Linked DNA regions of Drosophila melanogaster. The protein of the gene in region 2 interacts with the protein of the main gene of each other region in a pairwise test. Each region holds a gene or a part of one and is shown on either strand. Other genes may lie near its edges. The genes, in order: CG12730, spidey, CG6770 and Pmi.

Region 1 (7,473 bases), 2.4 Mb from region 2:
CGAGTATCTGTGTGCGCAGCGGCAAATTGAAAACTCTTAATGTCGTTTGTGATTTGATCAGGGCACCTCGTTAGTTTGGGCCCGCGGCGAAAAGGGAAGGCAGCCAGTTGGCAACTGCTAACTGATAATTTGATTATTATTATTATATATCTATGTAATATGCAGCGGGCTGCTGTGTGCATGTGTGTGCCTTGTGTGCGCTTGTGTGTGCGTGCGGGTGTGGCCAATCATCAGCTCGGATTTCCATTTTTCCCGCTTGTTGCCTTGGGTGCCATAGATATGTGCATGCGAATCCGCATCTATGTATGTACATATATGTGTGTAAGTAGCAATTTCCTCTCACCCCGCATGTGTGTGTGTGTGTGTGTGTGTGCGATATGTGATGTCTTTGTGTGCGCTGCTCTTAGATAGATCGAAAATTGTTGCTAAAGTCACTTGTGCTGTCGTAATTTCATAAATTGCGTAATTGCATTGCCATTGGAGGAAAGGGAAAATGCGATAGGGAGTGAAAGATGGTGCAGTGTTTGATTAAAAATAACTTATTCCCAAATGATGTCTAATTTGCATCGGTTACAAGCGAAAGAAAACTTGCTTGTTTATTGAAGCCAGAAAAGTTCTCATTTCCATGTGATGCGCAATATTTCGTAGCATACTTTCAGGCTCTTAATTGGTGCATTTCCAATGCATTGCAATGCCACGCGCACAAAACGAGCATACTTATTCATTATTTGTCACATCAATTTAATTGATACTGAAAATAATATAGAAAGGGCAAGGTGTACCTTTATTTGGCCCACTCGTATTTCCGAGAATCGAAACCACAATTAGGATCCAGCCAACCGAGCTGAACTGAAGATGGCCTCGCCTTTTGTTAACCGAATGCACACACTCGGTTGCCATATCGAGTGCATATATATTATTTACCAAACATGTACTTGAGTTATCACCGATACCGTATGCAAACGTAAATTTCCTTTGGCTTTTTGACTACGTGGTCATTGGTCTACGTGCCAATCCAATTTCCTCGGCACATTGACTGTGGCTTTTCCTTGGCACGCTTTCAATTCGAATTTGCCGACATCGAAATGCAAAAAAACAAAAAAAAAATCAGAAAAAAATATAGAGGAAAACAATTGGGGTGCCAGCGACTCGGGACCCCTGCACCTGTAACTGGCTTTTCCGTAATGGCAGACAACTTTTCAGAGCAGCGCCAGCAGAGCGAAGCGTTTACATAAGTGGCAAGTACGGAGTCGTAAATCGTGGCAAATCGAGTTCGGTGTTCCTCTGTTTCCCTGGACCACCTGGCCAAGTGAATTGATCAAAAATCACGCGAAGGAAATTGCTTTAAAATGTGCAGCGGCAGCTGAATTCAGCGAAGAGCAGATACTGAAAATGAAGTGGAAAAATCGCAGGGAGCTTGTGAAAAGTGTGTACAATTCGGGGGAAACGGGCCAATGAAATGCCAATTAAATTGATTTGAGACTCAACCAATTTTTTTTTTCTTTTCCATATACTCGTAGGAGGTCATTAATGAGGTCTATAGGAAAATGTATTTTCGTTGATTGATTGACGGATTGATTGGCAATTCATTAGCATAAATTACCCGCAGAAACCGAACTTAAAGTGAAAGTACCACCAGCGAAAGCTTAATGCCCTTCGAATCTAGTTATGCTTCGGGCTTTAAATAATATTTTCATTTCAAGTAAATTCGTTTACAACATCATTGAAAGCTGTCGAAGAACAGCAGCTCCATGCACCACAACTGAGATGACAGTAAGCTCGCGAATATGAGATGAGCCTCCAGACAAAGAGATACAGATAGCAAATAAAGGATATTTAAAGAATGGCGGCAAGGACATCCTGTTGCACTTGGCCCATTTGATTGATGACGTTGGCACTTGAGTGCACACGATAATCATTTATAAGGCGCATAAATGTTCTGTTCCCCGGGGGGGAAAAAGCTGGAAAATCCGAGGGGGGAAATGGGGGTGGTTGTCAGCTGGCGGATAAAAAGCGCCCAAAGTCGAAGGGAATATCAGATTCAAATTCACTTGGCAGATATGCTGAGGTCGTTGCTATTTTTGGGGTATTTCGGGATTCGAAATTAGGGGGGGTGGTCTTGGTCTTGTCACGTCAGCTGCAGAGTCTGACAGCCACTGCACGAAATTTGCATTCAAATCGAGCCGTGTATCTGGGCAACTTAGTATCTGTATCTGACAGATACCCAGCTGGCACACTTCTTTGTCGAGGTTGAGAAATGGCTACGGCCCAACTTGCCGCTTTCTTTCGAACTTCCTTCAAAGTGCCTGAAACTAATTATCTGCCTGCTCGCAAACGTTTACTCCAACTTTCGTTTAATTGGTCATAGTTATCGCCAAGTTTGTCATTATTAAAGATGCTTCTGATGCATCTGAAACTGGATTTTTTCAGCCAGAACACTGCTTAATAGCTCACATGTCGCTTTGCCTTTGGTCCTGCTCCACGTTATCCCGTCGCCAAAGCAAACAAAATCTTGCTGATGCAGCAGCTGGCAATTACAGCGAATGCTTTTCTAATTAGATGCACCCACATTTTCCAATTCCCCCCGGCCCCGCCCCCCTCTCTCTCCGCTGCTCTACAACATGGGTGGAAAAGCGATGGAAATTGCCTGAGTGCGTAAGCGAAAAACCAGCCATGTGCATGAATCGTAGGCGAGATATATCACTAAACAATGCACTCTCAGCAACGTGCCACTGAGTATAAGTTGGATATTTAGTTAAAAACTATTTAGATGCTTTTGCTGTTATTCAGTGGTTTAAAGCGCACATTTATAAAGTCCTCTGTGCACTTATCGAATTCAAAGTCCTAAAGAAATCAAAGAAATGTCCATAGGTAATCATAGCTTTTTGCCATTGAGACTCGCACGCCCTCAAGTGTAAATCCGCTCTCCAGTCAATTTTCTTCGCTTTTCCGCCGCACATTTTCCCCGCTTGTCCAGACGATTCGATGCTTATCGATGAGCGCAAATCTCGTGCCTCCCATATTTATGTATATATATATGTTTATACATATATATGCATGAGCTTTTAGAAATCATGTAGACATTAGTTGCCCTGCAGTCGTCTGACTGTTTGTTACCCTCGAAATGGAAACTGCACTTTATCGCTTAAATTGCTCAAGTGCAGTTCATTTATGATTTTCGTGCTCATTTCCGCTTGTTGTGGCCGATTTCCGTCGCATAGATATCTCACTCAGCATTTTCCGCTCTGCATTAGAATATGTGAATCTGTGAAACTGTGAATGTCTCTGAATCTCAGTCAGTCGAGGCGATTGTGCAAGTGACCTTGGCCAGGAGGCGGGGGCCACCCATGCGGCCATTTCGTAAACGAGCCACCTCTCATGAATATGAGTCAATTAATATAACTCAATTTGATGTCGGGCCAGAGTGTTTCGACTGCTACCCTATACAAGTATCTATGCATTTTCAAGAACTTTAACAATTGAATGTGGAAAATAGTACATGAGTAGCGAGAAATCAAAATTAAATGAATGAAAAAATTGTATCTGTAATATCTTTGTAGCTTTGTATCATAAAATTTTTTTCTTTTGTATGGAGTAGTGTGTTCAAAGTTCGTCAAACTTATCTGGCCACCAAATGGTTTGTGTATATTCACGTATTCCGTATGATATGTGCTGGGCAGCTTGTGTTTTGCAATGTGAATCACGACGAAATTGCATTTGATTTTGGGAGGCTCGCATTTGCATTCGCATTCGGATTTGTGCAGCGATTTATCCGTTAAGTAACTAAATCAATTAGCCTGCTGTGCCGATTAAAATAACGAGAAGCGTTTCGGTCATAGCCGATAACAAATACGATTCGAATGGCACAATCTAATGATGCTGGGCATTAAGATACAGATGGAAATTCGAATGCACAGTGGTCCAAAAAGGGCCCAACCTCAAACTGCATGTCACAAGCAATGCCAGTCATAAAAGCTCGGCACTTCACACGACTAAAAAAGCTTTGCTCACCCAGTAACCGGTCACCTTGCCTTATGAATATACATATATTTAATATATCCCTGGAGGTCAGTGAGTCACACCGTGTTAGATTCACCCCTTGACATCCCCCGAACGAAAATTAGTATAATGTAACGAAGAAGCATTCACAATGAACAGACCCCCAAAACTACAGTTAGTAAGACAAGTTAATATGGTTTATTCATTTATTGGAAATTACAGCTTTCTTAAACTAATAATCCTATTTTTTATAAATACCCAGCTAAAGCTAATCTCCTTAATATTTATAGTTTCATTAGATACCATTTGAGTAGATAACACAATTTGTACACAATATGTACTACATTTCCTGATCGTTTCGTCCCACTGTGCCATGTGTTGCTCGCTCTCTGTCTCTCTCTCTCTCTCTCTCTCTCTCTCTCTCTTTCGCCCGCTGCTTCTCTCGCTCTCGCAATTGTAGTTTTATTCGCCGAGTGTAACGATGGGAGAATTCTGAGTATTTGTGTTGTTTGTATTACTTCAGTGGCATTCTGTGCGTGCTGGCGAGCGCAATATGAATTAGTCAGCGGCGCTTCGCTACATTTGCTACATTGGCTTTAATCGCTCGTTTCTGAGGCATCTATTCGGCTGGACAATCTGGATTAACTGCATCCAAAACGTATATATCTTGTATTGGCCGCGATGTCGTTGACGGGAACCCAGGACTACGATCGCAAATACCTGCTCAGCATGCCGGGCCTGTGCAAGCTGGCCTGTTTGGTAATTAGCCTTACACATATGTGCCATTGTGTATCGCCCTTAATGTGTGCGCTTGTATGTGTGCGTCTTTCAGCTGTGCAGCTTTGTTGGAATATTGTGCATCATCTGCGGACCGGTGCGCGTGAGCAATTTCCGCGGCAGTTTCTACCTGGCCGTAGTCACCATCGGATTCGTGGCCACCGGCTGCCTGCTCCTGGCCAGGTATCTCCGGTTGTGGCAGCGCCAGTTCTGCCGATGCGATCCCACGCTCTGGTCCCTGGCGGTGCACTCCTCATTGGCCCTGGCCTACTTCACGGCCTCCGGACTCGTACTCTCCCTGGATATTGGAGCCTATACGGCGGCGGCGGTAAGTGGCGTTCTCGCAGTTAGGATAAGTTCGGAAACCAAAAGTATTACGGCTCATTGTTTCGGCTAATGATTAAGCTAGGAAAGATACTGGTAAACGAAACACTGAGCCTCCAGTTGGAGCCGATTCATTCCCTCGCTGTGATGAACTCTCTGTAGATCCGTCTAATACACCCTATTCTTCACCTTTTTTTTTACAGTTCTTTGGCCTGACAGCATTTTGCATCAACGGACTGGAGGCCTATGGAAACTATCGGCGCAGTCGCCAGCGGGAGGTGGCCACCCAAACGATATAGACTTGGTTTCAGGTGCACGAACCCAGCTTTTGGTGGCTCTTACTACGTTAGGCTTACTCTGTGTGTGTATCTGTGTGAGAGCGAGTATCTGTGTGCGAACGAGTATCTGTGTGAGTGCCAGTGCGTGCGCGTGTGTGTGAGTTTGTTTTGAGAGAGCGAGTATCGCTTGCGTTTGCTTGAAGCATTTAAGTCTGAAGTTTGAAATTGTGGCAAGCTTTTGTCGCGGGAACAGTTACCGTATGTGTTATCTAATAGTCGCTAGATATAGGTCAAGAAGTGAAGAAGATAAAGCCAGTCGATCGCAGCAATAACGTAGATATAATAGCGAACAGAAAGCGAGAGAAAACCACTAACAAGAGAGCAAATTCCAAAGAGATAAGTTGTATTGTGCCTTCTGGCTCTGCTTCTTCCCTTCTTCTGATAACTGGTTAACAATGCGTGAATATATATGTACATATATATACCCGATTTTTTTTTTACTTTTATTAAGTACATAGTATTTGTGTGTCTCAAGTGAATATACATTGAAGTAGTTAGTTTTTAGCACAATGCTTTTCATGACCACTGAATTGTTGTATTTATAAACAAATAAATCGTTTGCAATGGAAGAATAAAACAAAAATACATAAATGTAATTTGTAAATGAAGGGTGTTTTTTAATGATGAGAGTTCATATGCGTAAATTGGGCTTGAATGTCAATTGTTGATCGTGCATATTGTTATTGATTCATTTACGCAAAAGGCCACTTTCCCGAGGCTATTGTTTATTTATTTTACTACACGAACTACTTTTGCGACCATGTTTGCTTGCACAACAAGCTATTTTCACCTAACATTGCCGGATAGAATTTTTGCAACCGGCGCTCCATGAAAAAGATATCGCCAACCTTTGTTTACCTTATCCGCATTGAAACTGAAAATAAACAGGTACACTATGGTGCCCCCCTGTCTGATTTTGCTTCTTGTTTCGTTTTCGTTTTGGTTTCGGTGCTCTGTAAGCTGTTGCCATTGTTGGCTTTTCAAATCTTTTGAACCACCCACAAACGCAACAACCATCATCACCCAACAAGCAGCACCCAACGCCCACAAAAAAGCACTTGGCTCGTCTATTGTTTGTGTTGTTTTTGGGGGCTCCCGCCTCATTATTATTACTTTTGTTGCCAGTTTGATGAAGTTTTCGCCTCGATTCTTGTCTATTTCTGGCACGATTTATTCATAGTTAGTTGTTCGCCAAGCATAAGCAAATTTTCAGCCAAGTACGCTTAACAACGTAATGAAGAGCGCAATATATTCATGTGTTTTATGCCGAAAAGCGCTGGCGTAAAAAAAAAAAAGAAAAACAAAATAAATGTATAGAAATGTAGCCGCATTGCAGACATAATATGGGTTTCGCATTGCTTTACACGTGCAGTAGGCAACCCTGTAAAGTGCTGCAAGTTGCCATGACCACTCATGACCTTGTGCACTTATCGCCTATGTGTACAGAGAAAAACCATGTCCTTTAAAGGGTAATTTCCATTTCCATACAAGCTTCATTTAATTGATATATTTATGTGGTCTTGACTCTGCTCGTAAGTAGATAATTTTTTGCGGTGCTTCCTAGCCCTCTTAGCCAAATGATCATTTAATTATTTCTTCGTCGGCAGCTCTTAGCACTTCCCATACCCTAATGTGCCATAATTTCTGCTCCACCATCGACGCTCTCGGCCATGCAAGTCACGTAAAGTGAAATTAATTAGTCTTGTTTGCCAGTTAGTCGGCCTCCTTTCGGGTTGGCAAGACGAGAAAGTGGAAATGCGGAAAAGCCAGGCAAGGGGTCAATCCTTGAGTGATTGAAATGCAATCGTGTGGACCGAGTTCATATTGAGTTTGTGGAAATGTCATGGGTCCGCACTTCCTGCCAGCAAATGATTTATGCGGCCTGCAATTTGAAAGTTGGCTGGCTTAAAATATTTTCTTTTTTCGCTCATAGAATCGTGGTTAGCAGTTCAATTGGAAAATGTGACATGCCAACGCTAACGGTAAGCTGTTTCATAATTCGCTTCTGGCCTAATTAGCTGCTAATATTATCTGA
Region 2 (8,169 bases):
AATGGAGATAGAGATATATACATATATATCATATAGAACAAAGTCCGCTACTCACTTGGTGGCATTGTAGAGCAATCGCGAGGGCACGCGACTTGGTGGCGTCGGCTCGTTGGTGGTGAATATATAATGGATATAGACGGTTCCCGCCACAGCTGTCGGCGAGATAAGGGCAATTAGATATTTGGCATTTTTAATTAGGCGCTCGTTCGGAACTGATTGCGCCCGATATGGTGACTCATTTGCCATCATTCCATTAGAAAACGCCCTGGAACGAAAGCGGAAGACTTACCCGCAAAAACCAAGACCAGGGAATAGACCACAAAGGCGAAGAACAGAAAGAAGGTGGGATAATACCAGATGACGGCCAGCAATGTAAGCGTGATGCCCGAAACAATAATCCTCCAATTTAATTGCAATGCACGTAGTAGTCTGTAAGGGATTTCAGGGCTAGTCTGTATCCAATATATGTATTTGATTGGACATTATTTGTATGGACTTACCGGGTGGCAAGGAGCGTTAGGCGTTGCGTTGCCGTTACGGATGGCTCCGGTTCGATGGGAAACAGTGGCAAACGGCGATTCTCCATGGCGTCCACAGCGTGCTCCTCTGATTCCATCGGCCGATTGACTTCGATTCGGGACTTCCGAATCACTGCCTCCTCACCTTATTGCCTACTTCTTCTGAATATTTGATGAGTTTTGTACATTTTCGACCCGCTGACCATTAAAAATAGTTCTCAACAATTGCGTCAATTCCGCTTTGGTCTGGTGTCCACCACCTCCTCCTTCTTCTACTGCTCCGTTGTCGACGACCTCTCCTTCTTCTTCTTAACCTCCACCGCCGCCTCCACCGCCTCGCCCGTCAACGAATGAGAAACGAATACAAATATGGTATCGCACAGTATTGTATCGGCTTTTGGAGAAGCGTCCGTCGTATATTGAAATATATGGGCAGAGAGACAGCTGGCTGGGAATCGAAATCGGAACCACAACTGTCGGCAATATGCGCCAAATCAATACTGGGCGACGCTGCGGATCCGCAACAAGTTGATTGGTTTGACCAGCTTTATCCGGAGCGGAGTTTTGATTTCATTTCGTTTCGAATCGTCTCGTCTCGTTTCGTGTTGATTCGTTTCCGAGGAAAGGAAATCAAAACAAGCGACTCTGATTACTGATTACACGCTCCTTCGATTCAGCTTGATGTGTTGTTGTTATTGTTGTTGCTGTCGCTGCTGCTGCGCAGTTGGGATTGGGCTGGCCCTGATAACACGTCACGTCATGAATCCGATTCATTACATTTCACGCCCGGCTATACACTATCTTTACTGTTATGTTTATGAATTTTGCCCTTTGCTTTGCTTCTTCGCCCTGCGCGAAGTGTTGTATCTCTTTCTGTCATTCCCATCTCGCCGATTAGCCGAAGGGCGCGCCTATCGATGACCAATCGATAGCTATTGCCGTTATCGACACATCCAATTCAAATTCAAATTGGATCCGAAAAACATGAAAAATCATAGGGAAAAAGAAAAATCGCTAGCAAGAACAAATAAGAAGTTAAATACAAAATAAAGGACTGCAAATAAAAGGCGTTATTTATCATTGGAAACTAGATATATACATATATCTAGTAACACATTTTTTATTGTTTACATGACATGGCTGTTTGCGAATCTTCAATGCTAATTAATGACAAAAACTAACTAAACTTAGTTTATTTCGGAAAAATGTTTTTTTTTTTGGTATTTCAAGCTATCTGTTTGTGGATTCGTATGACACGCGGTAATTACGTAAGCTATTTGACTAGCCGGATTTTCCCCACAACCCAACTGACCCACTCATCATCCCAACCGATTCCCATTAAATGCCTCCTCCGCCGTATTCATCCTCAATAATCTACTGTTCCTTGGCCAGGCGGCGCAGGGCACGTTTCCGGGTGCCCAGGATGTTCTTCATAACGATGTTGCGTGCGAACTGTTCGCCGAACACCGCCTCCGTGAAGTGGATGACCAGCTGGAGTAGAGCATGCGGCAGATAGCCCGCCGTCTGGGTGGCAATGCCCAGGGTGGACAGCGCCGAGCGGACATACGTTTCCGGCGAGGGAGCAAACACGCTAGCCTTTCGGATCTTAGACATATTTGTGGCCACAAAGCCCGGCTGGACGCTCTGGATGAGGATGCCGTGCTCCTTGTACTCCGTCTGCAGGTCATCACTGAATTTGTTCACAAAGGCCTGCAAATTATAGGTATTAGTAATTAGCCTTCTATCACTTCTGATGATATCCACTCACCTTGGTGGAACTGTACACGCTCAGCAGCGGATTAGGAATGACTCCGGCGGTGGACGATACATTTATGATCACACCACGTCGCTGGCTAATCATGCCGGGTAGAAAAAGTGCGGTCATGTGCGTCACCGAGTGGATATTGGCAGCCACAATGTTGCGCAGGAATGGGGGATCGGCTTTGTAGCAGTCCAGAAAGTACTCGGGATGGCCGTAGCTGATGCCCACGTTGTTGACCAGCACTCCGACATTGAGGCCAGTGGTCTTTTCGCGGATCTTATCGTAGATCTCGTCACCGCCGGTGAAGTCCACATCGATCACACGCACCTCCACACCGTATTTATCGCCTGAAAGTAGACCGCAAAGAGCAGTTGTTAGTTGAAGTTGTTAACTGTATTTTAGTGAGCAGACTTACCTATCTCCTTGGCCACCACATTCAGTTTCTCCAGGGATCTACTAATCAGCACCAGTTTCAAGCCCCTGCGAGCCAACTGAAAGTGATTAAATATTTATTAGCCTGCTCATATTTACGTACTTTTGGATAGTAAATTCTTAGGTCAGAGATAAAAAGCAATGGTGCTTTGGAATGGGAACACTGAACGTTTCTACCTAAAGCAGGAGTTTCAAAGACGAGTAACCCGTAGATTTTAAGAACAGGAAGTCATTTAAGTGTACTAAGCGTGTATATGAATAGAAATTGGGTGTGAACATTGAACCATTTTCTGTGCGTTCGACGCACGCCGAATGCTAATTTGGCACAAGCTTCGATCGGGGCCCTGTGCTCCACTCTATAAAGTAATTGCCATTCAGGGGACACGTGTTCCCTATAGCTTCTAGCTTCGTTTGCTCCAAGTCTGTGTATTACAAAATAAAACTGGCAAAAAAAAAAAAAAATTACCACAAAAGGTAGAAAAATCAACTGCGATTGCACTTTGTAAAAATAAATAACGAAAAGTACAAATGTAGCGATTTGCAGTCAAGCAAACACTATTAGGGACTGTTTGCGACTGGACTGTTGACTGAAGATCGATTTCAAAGTGCAGATTCACTTGGCTAATGCATTGGCGACCGCTAAACCAATGTCCAAGTCATCGTGGGCGACACTCAATTCGGTAATTAGTAATTACTAATTGCTCATTATTACTATCGTTTTTTGTTTGTTTGTTTGCTTGACCCGTTTCCCATTTTACTATAATCATCGGTCGAGCTTGGACGGACTTTGCTTGCGCTGGTCAAGATTGGGGCAGCCCTTCCATGTCATCTTTGTGTACATACCTCCTTGGCGTAGGCCTTGCCAATTCCATCGGTCGACCCGGTGACAACTGAAAGTCGAAAAAGTTAGCCAATAGTTCTGTGGGTTATCAGTGGATTTATGGGGCGTGGGGAACGATCTTATCGGTCACAGTGAAAAAAGTACTGAACTCCATTTTGGAAAGATATATAGTGTATTCCTTTAGGCAGTTAATGCAAAATTGGAAAACTTGAAAGTAGAGTGTTTGCAATTTGGAAATTCCCTTTCTTCACAATTTAATTGTAAAAGGGTCTTTAATCTTTTTAACTACACTTCTTTAGCAAACTTGCTATTCATTTTTTCACTGTGCACTCGGAATCGACCCCGTTTCCGCTCCTTTCCGGCATGTTTTTCCATGGCAACCGACTCACCTGCCCACTCGCCCATTTTGGAGAGATCCACCGAGGAGCCAAAGACCTTGGGGCCAACAACATTGGCGTAAATCCAGGGCAGGACCTTCCGGAAGACCTGGAAGCCCACGATTCCGATGGCCAGACCGCCCAGCAGGCTCAGCACTTGCGAGTTGTTCTCCTCCATGATGTTGATGATGGAGATTAGTGGTTCCTGGTTCCTGGTACTCCTAGGCAATGGTACCTATTGTATGTACTATATGGTGCGATTGCGATCGGTCGACTGCTATAGCCTCTGCCGGCTGATTAGTTTCTGATTCTACGATTTTCGAGCTGCAATGCCGAAATGGAAATGCTGACGCCGCTGCTTTTTTTTCGCCTCTGCCGACTGCGCTGCCTTTTCGAACTGTATTTGTGGTGTGTTGTAGTAATTCTACACACACACACACCCTTCGAAATCGCCACTGATTTTCGATTACTCGATTTATGTACGCGTGTTTTTTGCCTGATTTGTATTCCAAATGCGTTTTCTTTGAAAGGAGAAACTTAGGGTAGAAGGGGGAAAATAAAAACAAATGGAAAAAGCGATTGAATGTCAATTGTCAACGGCACAAAAGCAAATGAACGGTTCTTTTTCGTATCCATGTGCCCCCCTCAGAGGGGTGTGTGTCTGTGTTGTGTGCCCACTTATGTCATTTCATAGCGCTCACGCACACCACCAAAAAGCGAAAGATAAGGGCGGCTGCAAACAGTGAGCGCAAAAATTTATCACACCAAGAACCGTTATGTTGCACTAGCTGATTTTAAAAGAGGGATGAAATGTAAATTCAGCAATAGTTTTCCGCCTAAGGGTTCACAGGTTCATTACCGTATATCCTTCTTTTACTAGTCTATTAATTAGTTTATTTAAAAGCGAAAAAAGCATGCATATGTATATCATAGGAGGGCAGTGTAAGTTCTATGCTCTCACCAATACACGCCAGAATGGGGCAATCACCGAAATAGTCTGACTAATTTCCTGCACATGCGCAGGAAGCAGAAAGTGCGATAAACAATTTAACGCAGCGAATGCTACAATTAAAGTCGTTAAATATTTTTGATGTTTCTGAGTAAAGCCCGCTATATTAACGGTAAATTATTGATGGAGCGAGATGGCTATAGCGGATCGCGTATGTGCGAGGGTAATCCTTTGCCTATCGATAAATATCGGTTACTTATCGAATTTCGAATTTGAAGCTTAATTTGACAGTAAAAGAATGGTAGTTTATCTGTATTTTTACTCTAGGCTCTTAACAATTAGTAAAATACAGGTATTTCTGAGCTCAATCGCCCGATTTATTTGCATGCCGAGCTATACGGATTCAAAGGACCTTGTTTGGTGGGTAGAAATCCCTGGATTGCAAGAATGCCGAGAGAGATGCTGGCCTTTCGGAGCGGATTCAGTGCCGAAGCAAGTGTGGGTGAGGGAACAACAACGCCGAAGGACCGGCAAAAGCAACTTTTATATTGTTAAATATTTATCAGAACCATCCGCCGAAAAGAGCTTTTTTCCTGGACAAATGCAAACAAAAGAAGAAAAGAAAAGTCTTTTTCTTTTTAAAACAATCTTGAAGATTGCATTATTTTGAGCTTGAGAGGTGAGTGGCGTCTGCTATTTGTTGTTGTTGCTCGGGTAGAGGGATTCCTTCGGATGAAATAATAGGGATGCGGATGCTGGCCATGCGCAGAGCATGCCCTGACCTACATTCCCGTTTATTGGCCATCCGAGCAGCAGTTGCAAAAGGATAAATACACACGCAACACGAGCTGGTTAATAAGCGCTTTTCCGATTTTCCAATTGTCCGACATTCCTATCCCTCCAGCCTCCATCCGCGCGCTGAAAAGTGTGCAAAGAAATCAACAAAAAAGAGAAAAAGAAAAAGTAAATATACATATATAATCGAAAAGGACACTCTGAAAAAGAAGATACTTGAGTGCAATATGTCCAGCAATATTTTGCCGCAGGGCAATCGATAAGCGAAGCGAAGTGAAGTCCGTGGAATCATCGCTGGCGATGCAGTGGGACGCTGATGCAGTTGGACTTGGATCGATATAGAACAGTTTAGAGGGGCGTTCGTTCATATGTGCATATCCTGCGGCGAGTGGCGCCAGTCGATGCATCATCCCGCATCCTGTTACCGTATCCCGTAAGTCGGCATATGAAGACACTCCGCTGCAGTGATGAGATCGAGGCTGTTTTGGATACTGGCGATTATATACTCCTCACTCCATCACATCGGCTCGGGTTCCACGTCGACCACATGTGAGTCTCCACCTCATGCCTTAATCACATTGCAAACTTTTACCCAACTCAAACTTTGGCACTTTTAAGCTGAAGATTAAGTTCTTTTGTTTACTTTGCGGATTACCCAAGTGAAAAATGATTATTTTTTTTTATGTAAAACAATTATTTTACTACTTAGTGTGCAAGCATTATTCGAAACGAAATTATTGTTTTATTTGAGTTTTTCTTTTATACGTGATTTTAGCTGAGTGCATTTTATTTTTATATATTATATGATTTTCATATATATTTTAACTATATCTATTGAAATTGTTTTTTTTCGAACTAGTGAAACGACCGCGAGCTGGCGATCCATTCGACACGTTTCCGAAGAACTTCTGGCAGGAGTTCTCATCGCCGTTCACCGACACGCCCGAGGATGAGGAGCTGGAGGTCACCGAGACGACCACCCACGAGCCGTTCCCGTTCTTCGCCGATCCGTACACCACGCTGAACATCAGCACCCAGCTCTCGTCCAGCGTTTATCTGCACTGCCGGGTGAACGATCTGCAGGGCAAGACGGTGTCCTGGATGCGTCGCCGTGGCGATGATCTCACCCTGATAACCTTTGGCCAGCACACATATAGCGGCGACTCGCGGTATTCGCTGGAGTTCGAGGAGCCCAACGATTGGAAGCTGCTCATCCAGTTCGCCAACGAGCGGGACGAGGGTCCCTACGAGTGCCAGGTGTCCTCGCATCCGCCGCTCGTCCTGCTCGTTTACCTTACTATAATTGGTGAGCAACTGCTGTCGGCTTGCCAAGCAAAACCTGCTGATCCATGCTGATCTCATTCGTTGTCCATCCGCAGTTCCTCACGTGGAGATACTCGACGAGCGGGGCTCGGCCACGCCGGAGAAGTACTACAAGGCTGGCAGCACCATCGAGCTGCAGTGCGTCATTTCGAAGATTCCGCATCCCTCCTCCTATATCACCTGGCGGCACGGACCGCGCCTGCTCAACTACGATACTAGTCGCGGAGGAATCAGGTAGGATTTGTCGTATATGGTCTTAATAATCGTAAGTTAATTACCATGCATTTGATATCATTTGCAGTGTCAAGACGGACATGCTGCCAGGACGAGCTCTGAGTCGCCTGTATATCGCCAATGCCAATCGCCAGGACACGGGCAACTACACCTGCATGCTGGGCAATGAGATTACGGAGACGGTGGTGGTGCATGTGCTGAACGGTAAGTGTGCAAACTCCCCTTGGCTATTCATATAGAATCCGGAATTCCAGGTGAGGAGCCAGCCGCCATGCAGCATGCGAACGGAAGCCGCCAAAAGGCCAACGCCTCCACAATGGTTGTGTTATTTCTAGTGTACGTTTGCATCTCCGGTTCGATTTCCGTAGCCGGAATGAATCGGGGATTGGGCTTGGGACAAGTGTGGGGATGGGGATGGGAATTAAGACGATGACGACGCAGCCTAATCCGGGGATCGTAGATCCTAGATTGTGTCGCGGGAAATGCATATACCAAAAGAGTCTTGTCCAGGATTGCATTTTCGACTTTTACTCTAATCATGGGTTGTTTAACATACGATACATAGCATAAACCGAATATTAAGCTTAAGGTCAAGTGTATTTAAAAAGAAAAAAAAAGGCGGAAATCGAAAGCTCGAAAGCAAAACCAAACAAACCAAAAAAAAGAAAACGGAAATGAAAGTGAAATGAAAAACTCGTACTAGTAAGGGCGTACGCGAAATATAGATGAGATATTGATTTTTAGCGCTAGAACATAACATTATTAGTATCATAATCGAATCGAATTGTACTACCAAACGGCCGTGTTTATGTTGGCTAACATATTGATCTTATATACAAACATGCACATTATTGCATCTAACGTATCCATTTAGCTCTTTGTTACCTCCACGTCATTATGGATATATGTACATGCATGCATACCTAGATTTGTAAGGT
Region 3 (5,978 bases), on a different chromosome or scaffold from region 2:
TGGCAAAGAGAAGAAACGTGACCACCAGAAACCATATGGGTGAGAGGCGTCGTGGCGCCTTCGCCGGCATTTTCTCGTAGGCAGACATTATCCGTTTGTCACTATTGATTCTATTGTTTCGAATCCTGGTTCAGCACACACCGCACGGCCAGTTGGCTCGGAGTTAAGTCGACAACTAACCGAAGATGTCCCAATGCTGAGCCAGAAAAACTCCGCCCGGCAATGGTGCTAATGGCGGGTTTTTGGGTATCTAGAACATCCATCCGTAGTGGCTCGTTGAAAGGTGCTAATCCGCGGGCCGCGTGCATCATCGTTATTGGGCCAGTGCTCCAGTTTCGATTTAACGGTTCATCCAAGCCACCAAGTGCCGCGGCAATTAGCACCATCCATATCACCAATGTAGCCAGTACTACGATCCCATCCCATCCGATGCTAACTTCCATTCTCCATTCAGTTATGCATAATTCCCGATTTTGTTGTTCGCCACAAATTCGTTTTTTTTTTTCGCGGTGAAAGTGTGCAATATGATTCTCTTTCCAGAAGATGGACTATGGAATTTAGGAAATCGTAATTGGAATGGCTTTGTGCCGTTGGAGCACAAAGATCCACGCCTGTGGAGTGGCCGCCATCGAGGTCCGTCGTCGGTCGTGTGCCAGGCGAAGATCACGATCTAGGAAGCTGCATACATGCCCATATTTAGACACAAATCGTGGCAAGCGTGCGACTTTCATTAATGGGGTTGAAAAGAAATCTATTTCTACAATTAAGATACGTTAAGTCAACATCAATGGGGTGTTTGTACATTGGTGAGATCGCCTTAACGATTCGAAATTTGAAGACAACACCATTTTAAAAATGCTAATACACAGTTTTTTTTGGGAAATTGGTATACTACACAAAGTAACCAAAAAGAAAGGATATCGTATTAGAATATTGTATACACATATGAGCTTATCATAGTTTATTATATAGATACATATAGGTAGCCACCTATTAAAACTCATATCTTAGAAAAGAAAGCGATGTTAACAATTTTATTCTTTAATGCGAATTGAAATGAAATGAAAATTGCTCATGTTATGAAGTTAGTATTTAATCTTAAGAGCGCAACTAGAAAAGTGCAATCACGAAGTACATATGTACATATGTACATATGTATACATATGTATGTATGTATATTCGATGTACTATCTTACCTTCAAATCTTACATACACATAAATATGAATGTATGTATGTATGTAAATATGTATAGACCTCAACTTCTATCGATTTCTAGACTTTACTGAACTATTAATGCGTCATATGTTTACCGGCGAAACGCAGCGTGGCAAACTAGTTTCGTTACCCCCAAAATTGTTTACTCGTTTTTTAGACCTCTTGCTTGTTTTCCTCTAAAAAGCTCGATTGTAAATTTTATTTGTTGATATTGCTTTGTTTGAAACCGCGGCGATAATGTTTATCTATCGATTTTGTTTTACTTTTGTAATGCGAGTTTAACGAATCTTTAATTTAGAAATACATTTAATAAAAATAAAAAACCGATTCTAAGGCACTTTTAACACGCAATATATTGCAATGTTTAATTTTATAAAAAAACAGGTTTTTCATCACCTTCTATTTGTTTGAAGTTTGGAACACCACATTTTTAGATAGATCAATGATTCAGACGAAATGCTATTTAATGAAGATAAGGAATATTTATGACTAACCAAAATGCGAATTTAAACATACATAAGAGTCTTGGAATTTTAATTGTCAATATGTTCGAACAATTTCATTAATATGCATTATAGCAAAACCACCTGATCGAGAGTCTGTTTTATTGTTTACCAAATATCAACAACGCAATTCAAAAAGCCGGCAAATGGCGTTTATAGAGAGAGAGAGAGCGAGAGAGAGGAGAGAATTCCATTAGAGTGGACCTTTCTGGAAAAGTTTGTTCGGTTTATTTTTGTACGTGTGCTTGTTTGTTTGTGAGTGGAAAATAACATAGCTTTTGTAATTTTGGACACCTAATGTAAAAATATCGTTTAGTATTGAAAGTCAATAAAAGCGGCGCAATATTCATAAATGCAACCTTACACGCAAATTTAAACCGGAAGAAATGATGCAGGAATATGTGTGTGCAAGTTTAATTACCTGTGTAACTGGTGAACTTTCAATGGAAGGTCTCGGGAATATTTCCGTTTGCAAACTAACATACATACATTACATACACAAATAAATATGTTCATACATGTTCTCTTTTTGGTCGATCGCTGTAAACAAAGAAAAAAGTCGACTGCAACTGCTTTTGCGATAATCGAGGAGCTGAGTGCAAATGAGTTCAACTAAAAGGCTATAAATATGCACAACAGCACACCAACGGCATTCAAAAAGCTCTCTCGCTTGGAAAGGTGCGCTGCAAATGCAAATGAAAATAAGACGACCAGGCTATTCAGTTTTGGTTTTCTCTTTATTTTATATGTATTACCTAAGTCAAACTTCATTATTTGAAACGCTCTAAGGCTTAGCAACTAAAACTTGCAAGTCTGAATTAGTTTAGGAATATATTAGAAGCTAAGAGTAGTATGTGCCTTTCTTTTTTTGTGTTTGTGAAATTATAAGCGAAATAAAATTATTATAATGTTCACAAAGTTTAGCGCCGCATGAAAAGCCAATGCACAATACAAATGCAATGTGTATTTCCAGCTGGCTTTTGTTTTTCTTTCTTTCCTTCCAGCAAAACTGCTGCTTGTTCTTCTTTTTCTTCTCTCCTTTGCTTTTGCTTTCCTTTTAAATTCGAAGATTTCTTTTCTCCTTTCAGCGCGGCCCCGTTACTTCTTTCTCTCCTGTTCCACCGCCTCCGTCGATGCCCTGCATCAGTTCTTGCAGGCGGCGGCTTTCTTGTTGTTGTTGTTGGTGTTCATCAGCTTGGTCAGAATCTTGCGGGAATGACCGGAGGGATCGAAGTGGTTGGTGTGCTCATTGGCCTCCCTCTTGTTGCGCTGCTTGCCGCTGTGTCCAGAGAAGATGTGCTTGTCATGGTCGAAGTTGTAGTGCTCGTACTCATCGAAGTGGGCCTCGGACATAATGGCGATTTAAGGTTGCAAAACTAACTGCGTTCTTGGTTGGTGTCTGCTTTTTGTTTCTCTGCAAACTTGCAGGCTGCTTTCCAAATTTCTCTTCTGCTTTTTTTTGTTCACTTTTCGCTGAGCTGCGAACGGAATTGAATTTTTTCGGTCGAGCAGCGGCTTTTATAGGCGCGCAAGCTTTCTGTTCCGTAACCAAAGCTCTCTCTCCGTCAGAGTTGCCGGATTTAGCTAAAGAAACTACTAGAAGGGCATTTAATTGTTGCTTACGTGTAGTTACTAAAAATATTTAATTTTTCTATAACTTTCTACTGAACTTTTACAAAATATATTTGCTCTTTTTTATGTAAAAGAATTTTTAGTTATTAAAATTCATAGTTATTGGGCCTGACAACCCTTTTGCGCTCAAGAGAGTGCCTCCTTGACAATTTTTGCTGCGCAATTTAATTTTTTGCTGTTTACAAAGTGCGCGGTAAACAAAAAAACTGAAATCGCCAAACATATTATTTCGCCTTGTTCATTTATTTTAATAATTTAAGAACTTTTAAGCATACACACGTTCCTGAGTGGTTACATAACACACACCCACCTTGGCCCTCCGCAAACGACCATCAAAGTGCATTTACCCTGCATTTGTTTCTCCACCCAATAAATATAGAATTAAATGCATCATATGTTCTGGATACACTGCTCAAAATTTGTTTATTTTTTTACACTCAACAATATTTGAATGTTAGGGCACAAGAAACAATTTAGCAATAATTATAATTCGAATAACATTTTTGATTTACAAAAGATATACTCATAATGGATATTTATTTTGGTGCATTAGAACCTGATCGGTTGACCCACTTCCCTCCCACCAGGCAACGCATTTGTTTATTTCTGAATAGCGAAAAGCTTTCAGTTTGTTTTGGTTTAATGGATTTTATATAAACAAATGTTACGTACATACATATATACATAGCCTTCTGGCGTTGATAAGGTGCTAACTATCGCTCTAGTTAGTCATTTGGCAGGTATTCGTTCTGAAAGTTCGTCTTCAAACGACGCAATAGATCGTAGTCACCATCTTAGATAAGATAGAACGGCCTCAACAATGTTGTTTCAAGAACCTGCCACAATATACCACTTTATTTACAATTCGTTGGTAGCAAATCAATCTTTAGATTTCTCGATGGTTCTTTTTTAATGGCTTTAAAAAGAAACTGGGTTTCCGTGAATATTCTAGATACAATTTTGTTGTACTAGAACTCAGAACGAGAGATCCCACGTCTCATTTTGTAAATATAGCAAATGTTCTAAACTTGCTGATACAGTCTCTTTTCAACATAGTTATTCTAAATATTTACTATTGACCTTTGCCTCACAAATCTCTTTCTCTGAGAAGTTATGAATGGGGTAACCTTCCGTTTTATTCCTATTCTACAGTCTCCTTGGGCAGTAGTGTTTTCAGTCGCTTGTCAGGATTAACATTCCTTATAGTCTTGCTCTTAACACTCTTTGGCTTCTTCTTGGGTGACGTTTCGATCACGGGAAGCTCAAAGTCATCGGGAAAGCTACTGTCCACCGTTTCCGAGAGCTCCAACTGCACCGGTTTCTCTGTGTGAACCCGCTGCACGTGCTCCTTCATTTTGTCGGAGCGATGACTGCTGAATCCACACAGCTGGCACTTGTAGCGGTTCGGACCATTCTCCGTGTGCTTGAGGGCGTGACGCTTGAGGTTTTTGCTCTGGCTGAACTTGCAGCCACAGACCTCGCAGATAAAATCGCGACCCTGTTTGTGAGTTTCAATGTGCAATTTGAGGTTCTCCTTGCGATTGGCTCGATGCTTGCAGCCTGAAACTGTGCACGCAAAGAATTCTCCGGTGTGAAGCAGTTTGTGCGACTTGAGGGCCTTCATGTGCGTGGTGCTATAGCCGCAGACGTCGCAGAGCATTTGCTTCTCGGGATTGTGGACCAGGATGTGATTGCTCAGGCCCTGCTTCCACTTGAAGCCCTTGCCGCAATGTGGACATATGTGCGGCGTTTCCGTGGAATGCTTAGGCTGATGGACGAGCAGGGCAGCTCGTGTGTTGAAGCGGATGCCGCACTGTAAGCAAAAGAAGGGCTTACGCAGATCACCAGAGTGCCGTCGTAGGTGAGTGTCGTATTCCCGCCAGTCCAGAAAGCCGACTTCGCACAGCGAGCAAATCAAATGGGAGGGCTCACAGCTGCCCATGTGCTCGATCATTTTCTGTACCTGATAGCACTTGAAGTCGCAGCCAATGCAGTAGTTCACTTTGCTGCTGGACTTTACAGCTCGCGGGTTCTTAAGCTTTAAGGAAAAGGCGAATATAAGTTACGGCAGTGGCTCAATGACATATTATCCACCTTGAAGTAACTTTGTCGATTCTCAAACACAGCCTCCGCTTTCTTTTCTGGATCTGGATTTGGTTGCGCCTCTCCAGGTGCTGGGATCTCCGTTGCTTCCTTCGCCTCGCCCAAGGGCTGCAACTGGTAGAGATTCAGTAGTTCTGTCACAGCCAAAATTTGCGCTAGCTCCCTAAAATGCAGTTCGTGCTCCTTGGACACGGACACCAAATCCTCGTAGAAGAAGTCCACAATTGTGTGCAGGCATTGGGTGCAGCTGAAATTACGGATGGTGATCTTCAGCGGATTGTGAATGGAGAACTGCTGTTGCTTCTGGTTAGAGTTTATAAACTGGCTCTGAGCAGCCAGTACGCAGAAATGGACGCTTAAGCTGAGGGAATCATCCGAATCCAGTTCGAGGAGCAGGTCACAGAATTGTCCGGTTCTTCGCTGATTGTTTAGATAGTTCGATACCTTGGAGTGTAGCGGCTGGTGCAGAGTGGGTATGGATTGCATTGTCTGTGAGTGCAGCATTTCTGCAGCTTAGATAATGC
Region 4 (9,901 bases), on a different chromosome or scaffold from region 2:
AGATTGCATTCGACACTCGGCTCAGTGGGCTATACATAATGTTCGGCTGTAGTGGTGGCATGGCCATTATATAATCCAGTTAATTTCTTTAACAATTTTTGTTTCTCCTCGGGCTTTTTCGTTGTTTTTCTAGACGAGGCCTCTCCAGCCAGCGTCATTCGTTGTTTGGACCTCGCGTTGTTCGGACGTACATACATTTCGATCGGCGCGTCGTCTCACGAAGATCGTTTGGCCTAGCTAAATCCCAACGAGGTGCTCATATACAAGTAGAGGCCAGAGAACCCGTATCAAGGATTGCGAAACGGGCGTTTGGCATTGCTCATACGCAGCGTGTGACGTGCTTGAAAACAACGATCAAAGGAATCGAAAAAAAAGGAGTGTAAGTGCCAATGTGTGTGTGTGTGTTTGTGATAATTTCGAGAGCAACTGAAAGGATGTAGCCAAAACTGAAACGAAAAGGATATATGAACAGGATAGCATACAAGGATTAATCAAATTACTTACAGCATTTCATTCAACATTTTCAATCATTTTCATAGCAAAACAATATGGAAAAAAAAGAAAAGATTATAACCACATGTTATAGGATAATAATCTGGACTAATAACCAAACGAACCGCCCTCCTCCATTCGCAAAGTTTGTTTTTTTTTTTTAATTTTAAGCTTTTCATGCGCAATTCAATCAAAAAGCAATCAAAATGTATCAAAATGTATCAAAATCCAATTAACCCTTTTGATCAAAAATGGATTTGCAATTGTGTGCTGGCTTTGAAAAACCAAACATGATTAGCCTGAAACCTTTTCGAAAATCAATCAACGCGGAGAATAAAGGAGCCTGTGGAATAACAATTACCAAATAAGCCACGATTGCACCGCCTGTTGCATTATTGGCCTGTTCAGTTGGCCACACAAAAGCCACGCAAGCCACAACGAGCTCCTAATAAACATGTTGAAACTTGTGGAAGAGCGGGAGAGTGAGAGAGAGAGAGACAGGGGTAGCTGGCGGACGAAAGAGATGGCAAGCGGGATCCAACGGGCGCATTGCCCAATGACATTTTGAAATCGCATTTCCGGGGGGAGCGGGGGGAAAACCGACAAAACGAAAATTGAAAAGCCGACAAAAGGAAAAAAAAAGCTAAACAAAAAATAAGCAAAATCGAATGCAAATTTTGGACCAAAATCGAATCAATTAAATGGCACAGAGTTCGCAACATTCGAACCCAAGAGATATGTATGTATATATGTACATATGTATGTACATATGCAAATGGGTCGAAGTCATGGGAAAACGGATTTCGATCTCGATTATCTGGCTGGGGGATTCAAAGTGCGCAGACAAAGGGCCATAAAACAATCAAATCCATCCGCAGCTCGGATCACAAATTGTGTGCAAATATTGATATAAATCCATGTTTGCACTTTGTTTATCTGCAAAAGTCAAACAGTGGCATTGTTTCGGTCGCTTTCCACATACTTTTCTTTGCTTTCCACGCTCTTTATTGTTATGCAATGAATGATGCTCGGATGCTCAAACAGTGAAACTCTTTCTGGTACTGGCTAATTACGAACATACAGACATACATACATACATATATTTCTTTTTGACCCGCTTTCAGTAAACAGTTTTGAACTTGAACCAATTCGCCTGGTTTCTTTTTCAGTCTTTTTGCCATCCATACATGTTTTATATGCGACCATAATGGCATTTGGTGGTCGCTTTATGGTTCCCCTAACAACAAAGAAGTGAATAAATTATAAGTTTTTTTTTTTATTTCGTCGCTTTCGCAGCTCTGTTTTAACAAAAACGCGTCTCATACGCGAGTTTTAATTAGCAAATATTTGCAAATTACAACGATCCGTGATCCGGTGGCGTTCGCCTTGAGATCACTGGGACCTTGAACCAATTTCAATGGGAAGACCACTAATAAATCTCATTGATAAATACATATATGCAGAATTATTAAACAATAAGTTTCGTCGTTTGCCTAGTGAGTTTTTTTGTTTTGATTAAAGCAAAGGCTTCAAACTTGATATTCGTCACTTTTTATAAAGAAGTTGGAGCCTAACTTGGTTGTAGATTCAGTATATTGAAGCTTTCTATGTAAGTCAAGATGAAAAGTTGTTCTTATTTAATTTAATTATATATTTTACAAGTATGTAAGTAAGTAAATTCAATCTCTTTAAGAACATATACATATATATAGTATAAATATTAATCATACAATGTGGATTTGAGAAAAAACCCGACTAATCCGTGGACTTCTTATCATTCTTTGTAGTGACCGCAGTCCATGCCAATCGCGTGACCACAGAGCAGAACCAACGAATCGCAGATCTTCCAGCGAAGAAGGAAAGCAGAATATGGTGCAGGATCAGGGGGAGACGACAGGCCTGCCAGAGGCGCTGCTGAAGATCGCCAAGCGGGAGCTGCGCGAGGATCGATGCACGCGGGAGCAGTCGCTGGAGCAGCTGCGCAACTGGGTGGCCAAGAACGAGGATCTGCAGAATGTGCGATGCGACGATACCTTCCTGCTGCGCTTCCTGCGCGCCAAGAAGTTCAGTGTGCCGATGGCCGAGCAGACGCTGCTCAAGTACCTGAACATCAGGAGGACGTTCCCGCACATGAGCACCCAGCTGGACTATCTGGAGCCGCGTCTCGGCGACCTCATCGATCAGGGATACATATTTGCGGTGCCACAGCGTGACAAGCACGGTCGCCGCGTGGTGGTCATCAATGCCAAGGGGCTAAATCCGAAGATCCACACAAGCTGCGACCAGGCCAAGGCGCACTTCCTCACCTACGAGTGCTTGATGGAGGATCAGGAAACACAGATCACTGGGCTAACGCATGTGGGCGACTTCGCCGGCGTGACCACGGCGCATGTGACCAACTGGAATCCCACGGAGTTTGCCCGCATCTTCAAGTGGGGTGAGCAATCGCTGCCCATGCGTCACAAGGAGATCCACCTGATCAATGTACCATCCACACTCAAGTGGCTTATTGATTTCGTGAAGAACCGCGTCAGTTCCAAGATGAAGAACCGCCTGATCATCTACGGCAGCGAGAAGGAGCTGATGAAGAGCGTGGACCAGGGCTGTCTGCCGCTGGAAATGGGTGGCAAGGTGCCCATGCGCGAGATGATCGAGCTGTGGAAGCAGGAGCTGGCGACCAAGCGCGACCTGATTCTCGGTCTGGACAAGAGCATACTGCGCTCCGATCGCGGCATCCAGCGGCGCAGCAGCTTCAATGCCGGAAAGGCCTCCACCGGCGGACCCAACTTCGTTTCACAAATCGAGTCCATCGAGGGTAGCTTTCGGAAACTGGAGTTCGACTAACCGATCGCCAGTTGTAGTTTAAGTTTATAGTCCTTAGTCTTAGGCAACATCCAATCAATTAACCCAATGCGCAACGCTTCGCCGGTCCCCCGATCCTGGCCAGCGCCCGATCCTGGGGATCCCTGATTCGCTTATCGGTGGCAACCGCTTTACTCATCCTGCGCTTCTTTGTATACTGTGTTTGTGTTTGGCGTACAATAAACGAGAGGAATAATTTGGAATCATCTCTTTGTTGCTTCACTTGGACGTTTGGTGGCTCGCGTAGTGCGGCCAGTGCCTCAGTTCCCGCTGCAGTGCGTCCGTATAGCTGCCCAACACGAAGAGTTGGTAAATTGGCTGCAGAATCCGACGCTTTAAAGACTCAAGGATCAGAGCCTGGGCGGCCATCAACTGGCAATCGATGGGTGGTCTGCCGCTGAAGTTACCCACAAAGGCCATCACCAACGAGTCTATTCCATTTAGATCCCTTGGATACTGGCTCCGATAGTGCCATCCTTGTGCCTCGAAAACCTGACAATCACCGGCGACCAGAAAGTTGTAGGGCAGCTCCCCCACATGCGACCTCTAAGGAGATGAATGAATTTAGCTTTGATTACAATGTACTACACATACTTATGTCCGATTAACTCACTTCCAGCTTATGCAATACATCCGGGCAATCATCGTGGCATTCATTGCTTCCAGTGTGGGTAAAAATCACTGTGCCGACACCGATCGGATCGAAAAGAGTTCCCCGACCCTGAAGTTCCATATCCGACCATATGCCATGACCCACGATACTGAGTCGATAGCCAAAGTCCGGCGTTTGGGCTGCAAGCAGTGCAAAGTGATTCAGTCATTAAGTGGCTTTGTCCACCTATAAAGGCGAATTTAGAAAAATTTAACAATGAGTCATATGCATGCATACGAAAAATAAAACGAATCTTAAGTTAAACAAAAAAAAAAAATGAGGGATGGCTTTAAAATGTTTTACTATACAAATTTAATGCCAGATACATTATATTATGAGTATAGATCGATTTTTCTTTGAATACTTTCGCCTGCCCATCAAAACGCACATGAGCAGCTTATCATAACTCACAGCTAATTGAGATTTATTTATTATGCATATATGTAACAATAACGATTTGAGCACGTACTCGTGCACGTCCACCATCAGCGGGCAAACTCACTTTGTCTCCAGAGCAAATAGGCGGCCAGTGCCAAGGCGGATGCACACATGACCAGCAGTCCCACCGAGCGCCAATTGAAGCAGTCTTCGTGGAGCGTCGGGTTCCTTCGGCAATTCGAAGGCGTCGTGGAGGAGGCTGAGACTGAGGCTGTGAGGGATGAGGACGTCTTGATGGACCGCTGAGCAGCTGCCAGCAAGGGAGTGGATTCGCTTGCAACGCCTTCCTTGTCCACTCGAATGTGTATATCTTGGCTGGAACCCAGGCTGCCGTACGACGACTGAGAGACGGCGGCCGGCGAGGGACTACGACGTGCTATCGTAGCGAAATATAGAGCAAACAACAAATTATGGAGTTTAGCCAAGATAAAGGCGACCAGATGATTAGTCAAGTGGCACAGTTTGTCCAGGCCACTCTGATCTTGGTGGGCATAGTATTTGCTGATGGCACGCAGACTGTAGGCGCTCACAAAGATCGGCATCTTGCCACTAACTGAGCTGGGATATCCAGCCGAGATGCACGCATTCGTATATCTCACCCATTTAACTATATCTTATCAAGACAAGGGCTTATCTATCGTCGGACTTACCCACTCGCACGGCTATGTGGCTGGAGTCCATGGCTAGACCGCTCTGGCTGCAGCCTCGGCATCAAGGTGGTGCTGTGAGTGGGTCAGCTCCTTACCGGATCGCACTGGAACACACCACTCGATCGATCGGAGTCGCCGCTGTCAACCACTGCCAGCAGAATGCACAAAACGACTGAGACGAGAACAAGGGAGAGAACCAGCCCGCATGAAGCACAACATTTCCATTAAATCATCAGCTACGAATTTCGAAGGGGTCTCTTATCGCACTCACTCTTAGACTCTCTTAGCTATGGAGTAACTTTAAAGCCGGGAGTAACATTCGCATCGCGTTTACTTGACTTTCGTTTGCTGATATCTTCAACTAGACTCTAATAACAATCATAAATGGGTTTCGCTTTATACACAGAGGTTGGCTTTGCTTAATTTACAGTGCAGAGGCTGCTCCTCCCTTAAGACTAACTTGGGCTTGGGGACCGTAATAAGTTATGAGCATGCTAGCCAGTGCAAGTGGCAGCCACGGGAACACTGGACATGGACACTGGTTTATGGGAACATTTAAAAGTTTCACGAAAGACAATACATTGTGTTAAAATCGTTCGAAAATCTAAAAGAAATGCATTCGCCTATGTGCCTAAACTTAACTTATTAGGTATTACGCGTCCGCGAGACAGGGGACAGGCCTAATCCAGCACCTGGACATTTCAGAGCTCCTGCAAATCCCTTACTTGTAGGACCTCCAAATCTGCCAGGCGCACAGGGCAGCCGAGAGCAAGGATACGCTACGGTGCAAGTATTTGGTTTTTGAGTTGGGCGAGTAGCCCAAAATCACAGGCGAGGAGACATCTGTCAGTGGCAGTTTCTCCAACACGGTGTCATTATTTTCCACCTGAAAAACACAACCAAAGTGAGCTTCTCAATCTTGGATATCTAGAACTTTTCCTTTCATACCTGATATTGACAACATGGATCGTAGTTCCAGGAAACCGTGTACAGTCCTGTGCAAAAAATCGAGAGTGCACAAGCGGGAGCTGCAATGATGGGGCGATCCCGCCACAGCAAGCTGGCCACCAGGGAAACCACTCCAGTGGCCACCGCCGTCTTGTGCAGGCAATTGCCCACCCAAATCCAACGACCTGTGGAGATATGAAATTAATACTGTGCTTTAAAAGGAAGCACTTCCAAGTGCTTACCAGTTTCGTCGCCCAGCCGAGGCGGCTCTATAACGATGAAGTCCAACTTGGCTTCCAGCGCCTTGTCCAGCTCAGCCTCGAATCTTTCATGGGCATTGGAGCTGTCGTAGACCTCGCGGATGACATGGAAAGTGGGCACCTTACTCGTGCTGCACAATTAGAACAACAATACACGAATCAATCATGGTTATCTTGATGTGGAACTCAAGGTTAAGGTCAAGATCAAGCGCTCAGAACAACCGAAGCAGAGAAGCCATTGTGCAGACGAGATAAATGAAGAAGCCGCCTAGTAAATTGCATAACCAGGGCAGGTGCACTTGGGAACTGGGATTTGGCTGCACCCAGGTGGAATGTGTTGCGTAATCCCACTGCATTCACGTAACTAGGCGCCGTATTTACCTTTCTATATTTCTGCTAACCATTTTGCTAATAAATTTGTTGTTTTCTATGTTGTTCATAAACTCAGTGCGGCCGCAGCTGGACCGTTAAAATATACCAGGTACCTAAGGGCATAATACTGCAAATAGCAATCTTCCAAAAAAATACCGCAGTTGGGCGGCACTTTTGAATTATATCGTATTCGCAAATACCATTCTCCTTTAAAGAGCGGCCTATATATAAAGGCTTAATTCCACTATTTAGCAATTTATTTGCTTATTTACCTATATTCATAAAGACAATTAGATTAGATTAAAGTTTTTAAAAATATTTCAGTATTTCTATTGTTCTTCCAACTACTCAACTCTCCCATCTCTATTTACGATAATTGAGGCATTTAAGAGGCAAATCATGTAAAATCTGTATACGATTATAGGAGCTTAACTTAATTGAAATCAATAATTATACTCCCAATAAAGATCAAAAATATAAGATACATGTGTTAAATGAATTAGCCGGCTCTTATTGTCCCAAGCGAAGAAGCCAGGATTTCGCCGGCTGTCCGATATGGTCACACTCGCCCACTCATAAGAAAAGACACCCAAAATTGAAAATGGAAAAGCATCATCGCCTGCCCCTCCCGGAATTGCACGACGACAAACACAGACACAAACAGTGCAATGGGGAGAACAGCAATCGCTTCCGGCCGCCCAAGTACAAGACGCGTGGCTACGTCGCCGTGGACAACAACAATCTGAACCGAAGCCAATCGCTGGGCTCCTGTAGCACCAACAGTTCCCAGATCGCGCACGCGATCTCCTTCCGGGACGCCGGATGTTCGGATTCCAGTACGCTGCCCTCGTCACCAGTCCAGGCCGAGCTGAGCACCCTCTCCCTGTCACACTTCGAGCAGTGCTTCGAAAGGCTGGCCAAACTGGGCGAAGGATCCTTCGGCGAGGTATTCCAGGTGCGCGATCGCTCCGACGGCCAGTTATATGCCGTCAAGATCTCCAAGCAACTGTTCCGCGGCGAACAGTACCGCGCAGAGCGGCTGGAAGAGGTGCGGCGCTACGAGGAGTTCTCCGGCCATGAGAACTGCATCCGGTTCATCCGCGCCTGGGAGCAGTACGACCGACTGTACATGCAAATGGAGCTGTGCCGCGAAAGTCTGGAGCAGTACTTGCTGCGCTGCCAAAGGATACCGGAGGAGCGCATCTGGCACATCCTGCTGGATCTGCTGCGGGGTCTCAAGTCGCTGCACGACCGGAATCTCATCCATCTGGACATTAAACTGGACAACGTTCTGATCGGCGAGGACGACGAGACGTGCAAGCTGGCAGACTTTGGACTGGTCATCGATGTGGACAGGGCCAACAGCCATCACGCCACGGAGGGAGATTCGAGGTATATGGCTCCAGAGATCCTGCAGGGTCACTTCTCCAAGGCTGCGGACATCTTCAGTCTGGGCATTGCCATGCTAGAGCTGGCATGCTACATGGATCTTCCTTCCAACGGCCCACTGTGGCACGAACTGAGGCACGGCATTCTGCCCGAGGAGTTCATAAACAGTGAGTTGCGAACTAGCTGCCTACTTAAATGGCAGGTTGCTAAAGCCTTTCTCTTCGCACAGAAATATCACTGGAGCTGCAGTCGGTAATTAAGTCCATGATGAAGCCCGATCCTGCGCAGAGGCCGACGGCCGAGCAGCTACTCTCACATCCCAAGCTGCAGTACCTGCAAAAGAAGCGCAAGTCGCTGATGAACTTCAGCATGCTGGTAAGCATTCCCAAGCACATCTTTGAGAATCAATCTTAACCCTTGACAACTTGCAGTCGCGTAGTTTTAGGCGATCTCGCCGCGCCGTTTGGGGAAGAATGTGCAATTGGAAAACAGCCGCCTTTCGTTACCTTCTATACTTCCTGGAGGTCCTGCATCTATGCAAGCCCATAACGGCCTCACAGCCCAATATTAACATAGTGCCCTCCTCGCCTTCGTCAAAGGGAGTGCCTCTGGTGCCTCAGGTGGAGTTCCAGCTGGTAGGATCCACACCCATTGCCAATCGTGACTGCTATGCCTCCGACTTCCTTTCCGGCGAGGACCCGCTGGACCTCTCCAATCAGGGTAGCCCCAACGTAATAAATTCCACGCCATTGAACACAAACCAAGGCAAATCCCGTCTGGATTTGCTAAAGAATAAGTAAGTACCCTTAATCGATTAGCTCATGGACTAGCGCACATAACCCATCCGCTTTCAGTGTTGATTCAATGGGCAGGTACGTTCATGTACACGATTTCGAGAGTCCGTGTTCCGCCCTATCTTCCGCCAAGGTCCTGGACACCTCATCGTTCCGACGCAAAAAGCTCTTCGTCCTGGAATATGACGACGAGTGAGTGAGTACGGTGCCAGCGAGCAACGTAAACCGAATGAATTTATGATAAACCCAATATATATCAGTTACGAAACGAATACCAGATACATATGGCAACAGAATATATCGTTAATTGTATTTTGATTAGTTCTAGACCGTAGTGTTGTACGAAGTTCCCTAGATATAGTCTTACGATTGTGTAATGTTAATGCTTCTTTAGAAGAACTTGTTGAACTTGAACATATAATCATGTGATATATATACGAAAAGCGATTTGAAAAGTTTAAAAATAAAAAACTTATTGAAATTGAAACCTGCACTGAATGCCATCTATGACATATGATAACAACAAATTAAAGGTAAAAACCAAGAAACGTATAACTATAAAAATTTTTTTTAAAACATTTTTGAATTCTAACGTACCTTTCGTTTCGGGGAAAAGTATTTTGCCCATCTGGTAACACTGGCCGCTCGCACATGTTGAAAACGTAAACAAAAACGAGTAGCACAATTTTTGAAAATGACCAGGAAAAAGGCTCCTAAGAAAAAAACAGAGGTTGTATTCGACAACAAGAAACGCATGTAAGTAAGGAGACACAGAATCCCCGGAGGATACTAATGCCCACATCCCAATCCCGCAGAGAGTTTCTCAGTGGCTTCCGGAAAAGAAAGAATGAGCGACGATCGCGTGCAAAGGCGGATCTGGAAAGAAACCTTAAGAACGAGCGCAAGCGCATACGGCAGGAGGTAAAGGATGGCTTTAACCACCTGAAGAAATCCTTCGAACCGCTGCGCGAGCTCACCGAGGAGGACAAGGCCGAGGAGGCGGAGCAGCAGCAGGAGGAGACCTACGAAGATGATGAAGTGCAG

Evidence for each region.
Region 1: the proteins of spidey (region 2) and CG12730 interact in a two-hybrid assay, tested with the Drosophila melanogaster proteins (one large-scale study listed by BioGRID).
Region 3: the proteins of spidey (region 2) and CG6770 interact in a two-hybrid assay, tested with the Drosophila melanogaster proteins (one large-scale study listed by BioGRID).
Region 4: the proteins of spidey (region 2) and Pmi interact in a two-hybrid assay, tested with the Drosophila melanogaster proteins (one large-scale study listed by BioGRID).

What each region holds. Positions count from the first base shown.
Region 1 is NC_004354.4:5,512,741-5,520,213, forward strand, and holds CG12730 (uncharacterized protein), read left to right. Parts: upstream 1-3,867; 5' UTR 3,868-4,680; coding exon 4,681-4,758; exon of another isoform or gene 4,759-4,760; intron 4,761-4,831; coding exon 4,832-5,104; intron 5,105-5,303; coding exon 5,304-5,399; 3' UTR 5,400-6,031; downstream 6,032-7,473.
Region 2 is NC_004354.4:7,905,311-7,913,479, reverse strand, and holds spidey (spidey), read right to left. Parts: upstream 4,550-8,169; 5' UTR 4,109-4,549; coding exon 3,943-4,108; intron 3,603-3,942; coding exon 3,556-3,602; intron 2,772-3,555; coding exon 2,696-2,771; intron 2,628-2,695; coding exon 2,287-2,627; intron 2,229-2,286; coding exon 1,893-2,228; 3' UTR 1,595-1,892; downstream 1-1,594. Other genes in the region: snz (snazarus), read right to left, coding at 56-152, 290-429, 501-616; dpr14 (defective proboscis extension response 14), read left to right, coding at 6,142-6,223, 6,534-6,980, 7,054-7,231, 7,299-7,435, 7,486-7,664.
Region 3 is NT_033779.5:12,042,904-12,048,881, forward strand, and holds CG6770 (uncharacterized protein), read right to left. Parts: upstream 3,216-5,978; 5' UTR 3,073-3,215; coding exon 2,863-3,072; 3' UTR 2,440-2,862; downstream 1-2,439. Other genes in the region: CG6785 (uncharacterized protein), read right to left, coding at 1-88; Plzf (promyelocytic leukemia zinc finger), read right to left, coding at 4,493-5,389, 5,446-5,958.
Region 4 is NT_037436.4:5,776,916-5,786,816, reverse strand, and holds Pmi (Pmi), read right to left. Parts: upstream 6,767-9,901; 5' UTR 6,707-6,766; coding exon 6,684-6,706; exon of another isoform or gene 6,434-6,683; coding exon 6,285-6,433; intron 6,230-6,284; exon of another isoform or gene 6,228-6,229; coding exon 6,043-6,227; exon of another isoform or gene 5,981-6,042; coding exon 5,820-5,980; coding exon of another isoform or gene 5,816-5,819; exon of another isoform or gene 5,267-5,815; coding exon 5,236-5,266; 3' UTR 5,126-5,235; coding exon of another isoform or gene 5,095-5,125; exon of another isoform or gene 4,987-5,094; coding exon of another isoform or gene 4,509-4,986; intron 4,193-4,508; exon of another isoform or gene 4,147-4,192; coding exon of another isoform or gene 3,968-4,146; intron 3,901-3,967; coding exon of another isoform or gene 3,574-3,900; 3' UTR 3,337-3,573; coding exon of another isoform or gene 2,362-3,336; 3' UTR 2,132-2,361; downstream 1-2,131. Other genes in the region: Cralbp (cellular retinaldehyde binding protein), read left to right, coding at 2,362-3,336; PGRP-LD (peptidoglycan recognition protein LD), read right to left, coding at 3,574-3,900, 3,968-4,146, 4,509-4,986; Myt1, read left to right, coding at 7,276-8,230, 8,293-8,438, 8,495-8,859, 8,918-9,053; vito (viriato), read left to right, coding at 9,552-9,613, 9,673-9,901. UniProt on the Drosophila melanogaster protein: Plays a role in mitochondrial morphogenesis.